Linked DNA regions of Neurospora crassa OR74A. The protein of the gene in region 1 interacts with the protein of each later gene in a pairwise test. Links are inferred from orthologs where the notes say so. Each region holds a gene or a part of one and is shown on either strand. Other genes may lie near its edges. The genes, in order: NCU01820 and NCU03905.

Region 1 (3,919 bases):
GCATGTCGCTATAGAGGTTGCCGATCTGAGGGAAGAAATAGGTACCAATAGATGAGCATGCCGAGACGTTGGTCTTCATGATGTTGCCAATAACCTTGATGGTGTCCGCATCCTGGAGGATGTTAGGGTTGAGGCTAGCTTGCCTGATAATCTCCTGCCACGCCATATTGGGAATCTGCATGAGCTCAGAAAGCAGCCTTTCCTGCTGGTGCCTATTGCCTTGAGCAGCTACCATGTAGCCGCAAGCCTCATAGAAAGTATGTACCTGTTGAGGAGTCAAGTCGCAAGTGATCTTGCCAAGGTCCCTGATGATCTCCTCAATGAAAGGCTGAGACTCGCTAGGCTGGAGCGCAACAAAGTGGCGTCTGCAAGACTTGGCAATCTTAATAAAAGTATCGCAGGCCATGTCCTGGACACCCTCGTGAGACTCGTGCATGAACTCGAACAGCTTGTTGACGACCGTCTTGAGGAACTTCCAGTGCGCCTTGAGGAAACGGGGATACTGTCCGACAATGTACATGATGTTACTGGCGACGACGGCCTTGTTATCTTTGCCCCGCTTCATTTCGGTCAGTCCAAGAAGATCCTTGATAACAGTAACAAGGAACCTCTTCTCCGTCTCTTCGTTCATGGCGAGAGAAATAGAACCAATAGCCCAGCAGAGAACGTTGCAGTTGTGCCATGACCATTCGGATCCATCGACTTGGCGTGCGAGCTTGTCGGTCATAATCTGCTCGGTGTCGACCACATCCAAATGGGTGAGATAAACGAGACACTCGCGGATGGTCTTGTAAAGCTGGACAGTGTCGGTTTCCTTGACAAACTCGCGGACAATCTCGCCCTCGTCGTTCTCAACAATGAGGACTTCTTCGGGGCGCACCATCTTCTCGATCATGACAACACGCAGGTTGGAAAGAATCTCGTTGTACTTGTGCTTGCGGAGAGGGTAGTTGTTGAGCAGAGCGGGGTTCGGGGCGCCGCTGGTCTGCAGACCACCGCTAAGAAGAGGGTTCATATCGGAAAGGGGCAAGGCCTGCATCTCCTCATAGAGCTCCTGGACGAGCTTGAGCCAGTAGTCGAGGCAGATCTTGAAGATTTCGCGGTCTTCAATCTGCGAAATTCTGATTAGGTAATAGTGACCATGTGTAAGAAAGTCACGGTTCGGCAGGTTTTCGATGAGCTAGATACCATATTAGTACTACGATCATGAGCTCACAAATCTCAGCTACTTACGGGCAGGTGCATGCCAAAGAAATTGCAAAGGAACAGCGCCAAGTTCTGGATGAATTCCTGGTCGCGAGAGTTGCTGGCCGGGTAGGTCGCCTTCAAGTCCATGCTGAGAGGAATGATGTTGGAGATGGTCGTCAGGACCTCGGTGAACATCTTGATGAGGGCCTCGCCATAGTTGGGCTGTTGGCCCGTAGGACCCCCTATTTGCAAACCACCAATCTCGGTCAAGCACTGGAGAGTAATGTTTCGGAACTCGGGAACCTCCAAGAAACGCGTCCGAAGGGTTTCAATAAGAGGGGTCTCGAAGATATAACCGAGAGGGATCCAGTTGCAGAAGCGCAACAGGGTTTCGAGGGTGGCCTTGATAAGGCTGGGCTGGTTGGCAGAGTTGAGAACTTCCTGGCAAAGCTGGAAAATCTGCGAGAACTCGGCGCACATGGTGGTCTTGAGGTTCCGTGTCTTTGTCGACGTCATCTGCTCCGCGGAATAGTCGAAGACCTCTTCGGAGAGGAGTCGCAGAATGATCATGTTGTTCTCGCAGATCGAAAGGCTCGAGCGAGAGGCAGAGATAATCTCGTTGATGAAGGTAGGCCAGTTATGAGGCCACTCTTGCTTGAGGACGGAGACGAGAACAAGGTTAAGCTTGTTGAGCAGGACACGGTGGGCCTTGAGAAGCTCTTCGGAACTCGAACATTGGAGGATATACTGGACGACAAAGTTGCGGATACCTGAAAGAGAGAGAGAGAGAGAGACAAGTTAGCTACTGTAGGGGCATTAAGCTTCCAAAATGGCCATGTTTTCACGTACCATGACACTGCTCGCGGGGGAGCACCTTCCACCTCGTCATAATCACATTGTCGAGGACCTGTAACCCCAAGTCTACAAACCCTGTCAGTATATGACATTCTGGATATGAACTGTCTGGTACGTAGGCGGGATTGACGGACACTTTGTCTGCTCGTAGGTGGCCTTCTGGAGGATCTCGTCGACCATCAACCAGGCATCGGGATCTTCCTTGAACTGTTTGAAGGATGCTATGTTAGCCCTGGCTGTCAGGACAAAGGAGGGTCGAGTTTGGCTATTGGCAGACATACCTGGTTCAGGACGGTTTGGGCCTGAGCTTGCTATTCAAGCAGAAAACAGAACGTCAGCATCTACACAGGGCGAACCAGAATCCGGCGTCGTTATTTACCGTCTCGCCGCGACCTTCATAGAAGGTGCGGACTTGGTTGTCCAGTTCCTCGATGGAGAGGGGCATGGTCGCGTTCCTCTACTGATTTGGGATGCAGAGGGGTTGGTAGCAAGGTATGGGTACAGCGGGTAGCTGAACAGTGGATAGTCTCGAGCAGGATGGGTTTGCTGCTACCAAAGTTCGGCGAGACAAATGGGAGGAGATCGACAGCTCGTTGCTGGTCTGGCGGGGAGAAAAGGACTAAGGTAGATGGAGGGATTGCGAGGTGAGGGGTGTTTGGGTCCAGACGTGGTGTGTGAATGGCCTAGGTCCAGGTCTGTTTGGTTGTCCGGGTCACGGTGCGTGCCAAACGAAACGAAACGAAGCGAAGCGCAGCTGGCTTGACGGCCGGGTTGCTGGGGCCGGGAGATGGAATGAATAATCCAGACAGGAGGAGACGTGGGGCACAATCGTCGTGGTCGCGAGCCTGGAGCGAGAGAAAGGAAACAACGAACGGGTCGAGTCGGGTTGTTGGGTTGGCGTTTTTGCGAGTGCAGTGTTGCGTGTTGATCAGTGCAAGTCAAATGGAAGGTTCACAGTTTGGCAAAAAAATGAAGCGAACCTCGAGGCTGCAGAAGTGCAAGAGGCGTGAAGGGGCCTGCGCGCGGCGGTGCAGTGGGATGTGCACTTCAATTTGCAGTGGGATGACGGAGGTTATGGAGCTGGAGCTGGACTGGAGGGAGCATTGAGAATCGGGTCGAAAGCCCAGAAAGGCCGAACCGTGATGGACCCCACCAGCCTCCCGTTCCGATTTGGCATGCACGTCCACCAGGACGCCCTTGTTCGTTGCGGAGGTTGACGGATGTTGAGGTGACGCCCTCCGCGCGCGCTCGCTGGACCTTTGGACTGGACCACGGGATTCCGCGCCTCTGGGACGGCTTCCCTTCCAGTCGTTCTTTTCACATTTCACCACTGGGACCACGTCGGGTTCCAGATGTCGTCCGCGCAACCCAAAACGGTATTTATCTGCTTGTAGTCTTAACAGCAACCCAAAGCCATCCAACTGAGACCCATCGTGGGCTTTCCGAGAAAAGTTCTTGTCGATATGTCAGCATCATATCTGGATATTCTTCCCAAACGGCACCAAATGAATGTTTACTGGGTAATTTATGCTTGGTTCAGTTGCTATTTAACTTGGGATAGCACACTGCCTGTACATAGATACTTCAGAACCTAGCTCACACAAAGTCCGCTCTTGTCCTAACGAACAGACCTAGGTAATACCATTTCACCACCATTCCATATACACCAACATACATATGTCAGTATTAAGGACCTTCTGCTTCCCGAGTCTGGACAACCATTCAAACACAGCTCTTGAAACTCTACACTACATAGGTCGACCGGATATAGCTATCCTGAGATATCTCCGCATCTTCACTGCGGCCCATCGATCCGGTACAGCTGCCATGTACATCACTTGATAGCTCCGTATCAATATTTCCCCAGTGGAGATGC
Region 2 (3,919 bases), on another chromosome or scaffold:
AGCAACTGCGCAATTTGTCCCTGTTGAACATGTTAATAAAAGTCACATTTTCGAGGCCTCTCTCGGTTTGGTCATACCAGATCTTGCTGCAATCAAGTTGCTCTCTGACTCCATCATCCGATGCGTTGACCTCATCGATCTGAGCGATGAGATCCTTCTTCGGTGGTTGTGATTCTGCTTCGGGTTGTGGTGGCAGCAACCCTGGAGCTGTTGGTGGCAGATTATACGGTGCCAGGAAATCCGCATCGAATGCATCATTGGTCAACCAATCGTCAAATCCATTGTTGAGGACATTGTTCTGAGGCTCTCGGTAATCTCCGAAGAGCTGCGGATCAAACTGGAAATTGTCTTGAGGCAACCAGTTGAGAGTGTTGTCAACACCAAAAGTATTAAAGTCTAGAAAGTGTTGGTAAATTCTGGCCTATACAATCAGAGCGAACATTGAAGACTGGTGAATGCTTACCTGGCTGCCCTGAACCAATGACGCCTGGTTGCTCTTCTCCGATTGTGGCCATCGTATCTACTGACTTCAATCCGACGGGCGAATGAGTTAGAGGCTCTGGGGAGGTGCCACACGACGAACTAGCGCCACCCATGTTCGAAGCGCAAGAGGACGGGGAACTCGTTGACGTGCCGGCCCCCGCATTGTACTGAGAATCTGTTCCCCTGGTCGAAAAGTTCGCTCCCTCACCTCTTGCGGACTGAGGTGTGAAGAGATCGGCCGAGTAATGGGCCAAGTCTTCCTTGGTTTGTGTATCAAGGCCTATTTGGCCGTAATTGGGTGTAGTACCGGTGCTGACGCCATTCGTGGGTTGCTCCAGCCGACCTGTTGAAGACAAAGGGGGCGACACAGGGGTTCCCTTCTTGGTTTGATTTGCAGATTGTGGTCCAGGAAGAGGACCGCCAAACTTGGGGAATTCAAACTGGAAATTGACATCATTGAGGTTGCTGACAAAGGAGTTGCCGAACGGCATAGCCCGAGGTGATACCATCGGGGGTCGAGCTGTCATCAACGATAGACGCTTCTTGTACTCGTTCAGTTCGTTACTCATCTTCTCCATTTTCTTGCGAAGAATCTCGTTCTCATGGTTGGCAGTCTCGGAGATCTTCTTCAACTCTTCGACCTTGGTTTCAAGGTCCTTCAAGTGCTTTTCTTTGCGTTCTCTGAACGCTCGTTGAGCTGCTCGATTCTGGGCCTTGCGTTTCTGTTATTGTCACGTTAGTAGTCAATCCTTACTGAGACTCGAAAGGATCAATCGACCGAGGCAGGCTTACCGAGCTGGGCTCAGTGGTAAGAGGCTTCCTGCCGGGCTTTTTGGCAACTTTTCCCTCGCCCTCTCTCCTCTTTGGTTCGCTATTCTCCTCCTCGTCGTCATCCGGATGACTGCGCTTGTCGGGGGACTCCACATCGGCGGAGCCCGACTTGGAATCACTTGGAGCATTGGACCGATCGTCCGTCATGTGGGATTGATCACCAGTGTCGAAGTTGAAATCGAAGTTGGGGTCATGTTGTCCATCAAGGCCGTAGTCGTAACCGAAATTCGGGGTGTGCTGGAAACCCATAGGGTCGAGTCCTTGGGCAGACGTTCCGTTGTACATTGCGGATAGACCAGAGAGGTCGGCTTGTGTGTTGATGGGCTTGTTGGAATTGAGGGCGGCAAACAACAGGCTTTGTTGCTGCGGGGTGAGGACGAGATTGTGAAGAGGGTTCTGAGTCGACGTCATTTTCGGTTGTCTTGTATTGGAGATGGTGACTAAGAGGTAGAGCAGTCGGTTGAATCGAGGAAAGACCTTGGATGTTGAAAGGATGGGATGAATTCACTCTCGTGATCTGATCGCTCCTAGCGGTCGGAGCCGCACAGGCGGCAATTGTCGAGTATCAAGACCGCGGGTCCAATGGCAATGTGTTTTAGCGGAGGTCCGGGGTACCGGGCCCAAGATGTACGTATGTCCTGGTCGAAAACTGATGTCGGGGTAGATCAGATGCTAGTACGGGTGACGATAGAAAATCTCTTGCGGAGACGATGACGTTTCGACAGCACCGTAGACTGACTTTGGATCAGACGGGGACGAGCCAGCGGCCACGCAACTAGCAGCTTGAAAGGCAGAAAACTCGTTGAGCGTTGCGGGCTAGGACGGAATACCAAACCGGGCAGTTCCAGTTCCTGTCCAGTTCTCTCCCGCTTCTCTAGTTTTCGAGACTCAAGTCTTCTCCCAAGGAAGACGTTCGGTGTGAGGTGATGGGGTTTGCCGGGGGTCAAAACGAGAGGAAGGCAGTAGGATAACTTGAACTGAGACAGAAGAGAGGGGACTTGGTCCGAGTGGCAAGTTACAAAAGACGCGGATGTATTTGCACGGAATAGGTAGAGGTACCAGGGCGAAGTTGTGGCAGAAGGTGTAGAGAAGGGGGGAGAAAATTGCGAGTGCCCGAGATGTGAGCCGGAAAGGTTAACTGCCTGCTGGAACAGAACTAACCGTTGGCCGAGCCGAGTGGGTGGGATGGCGGCGGACGCTGACTTGAATTGATGGGCAAACCTATCGGCCTGACACCTGACTCACCTGGCACTCAGCCTTTCGGAATCCTGTCAGCAATTGGGTTCAGGAAATAAGGTACACGTATGATCCCGCGGGGGCTCCTTTTCTGCGATTGGAGAGGCGACGGCACAGGCTGCAGAGCAGGTTTGTGTTTCGTTGGTTCGCTGATACGATTCAGATCTGAGAAGGGAAGGACTCTTGGGCGGTCTTTGGCGATGGAGGGGACGAGACTAAGCGAGACCGTCCAAAAGCGGGCGAAAAGAGTGGACGCTCTTCTTTGGTTACAGGGCCAAACTCGTAGAATGCGGGCTACACGGGGCACAATTGGGCGCATGGACGCTTGGGGGTGTCCAAGTGGAGCGTGGAGGGGTTTCAGTCCAAAGTCAATTTGTCAGCGAAAATCAGTCGAAGGGAACGTCTGGATCGTTCCTGGACGGTCGGGTCGGGTGCGCCGTGACCGGCTCTGGCAACTGTCAGCACACCTTGACATGCCGACGACACCCCGAGTCGATTCGTTCAACAAAAGGACTGACAGTGAGTTCTATCAGATGCAGACAATCAATCAAAATCAGTCGGACCGTTTCCACAAAAGGTACCTCTATGTCGGTATCTTTTCCTATAAGGGATTTCTCTTGTTTCATTGCGTCCCACTACGTAGAGGATCACATTGACCGATTTGACGTGAGTGGGCTTCAAGCAAGAGCTGCCAGTGTCAATCTCTTGAACCGTACAAAAAAAGCCACTTTTTGTTTGACCTACACGTGTATGTACTACAGTATGTAGTTCTAGTCGGAGCCTCTCGAGTGCAGCCCGTCCACTTTTCATCGACGTGGAAATACATCAGTTTCCGCGGGTACCCCAAGTGGAGATTCTTGCAGGCAAAACACCGGAGTGGATAATAAGTGGCCTTTGTTCGACGGTGAAAGAGATGCACTCTCCTCTATCTCCGCATCAACTTGAGTTTTACAAACCTTAACCACAAATAGTGTACACTACACGTGTACTGTGTCCAAGCAAACAACAGCCAGGGGCATTTGTTTGAAAAATGGGCGCACTCGGTGTCGTGATTATCACCGTCGCAATTAGCTCGAGTCTGGCATGCTGGTTTGCCACTGAGACCTGAGTTCGAGACCCAGTCTCCCCATTGAAGATCCCACGTTGTTTCCGTCTTCCTGTCGGCAGTTCAGACGCCTCGTCGATAGGAAGCCCGCATGGCTTATCTCCGAGTGGCTACAAAATATACAATTCTCAGCTTACGGACAACTTGCCATCTGGTTTGGATTACCTGGCCAGCCTGGAGCCTGGACACAAAATCAGGCCATGTTGGACACACATGAGCTTGTCCCGTAGTCAGCTTCGGCTGCCACGGCGGGGAATCTCGAAG

What was found.
Region 2: the proteins of NCU01820 (region 1) and NCU03905 interact in a two-hybrid assay, tested with the Saccharomyces cerevisiae proteins (4 studies listed by BioGRID). The link is inferred for Neurospora crassa OR74A from reciprocal best matches to the Saccharomyces cerevisiae genes CRM1 and YAP1.

The regions. Positions count from the first base shown.
Region 1 is NC_026502.1:2,295,868-2,299,786, reverse strand, and holds the start of NCU01820 (exportin-1), read right to left. Parts: upstream 3,110-3,919; 5' UTR 2,489-3,109; coding exon 2,423-2,488; intron 2,355-2,422; coding exon 2,325-2,354; intron 2,251-2,324; coding exon 2,178-2,250; intron 2,110-2,177; coding exon 2,038-2,109; intron 1,959-2,037; coding exon 1,234-1,958; intron 1,181-1,233; coding exon 1-1,180. UniProt on the Saccharomyces cerevisiae protein: Receptor for the leucine-rich nuclear export signal (NES).
Region 2 is NC_026506.1:2,106,539-2,110,457, forward strand, and holds the start of NCU03905 (hypothetical protein), read right to left. Parts: upstream 2,800-3,919; 5' UTR 1,726-2,799; coding exon 1,276-1,725; intron 1,206-1,275; coding exon 464-1,205; intron 397-463; coding exon 78-396; intron 21-77; coding exon 1-20. UniProt on the Saccharomyces cerevisiae protein: Transcription activator involved in oxidative stress response and redox homeostasis.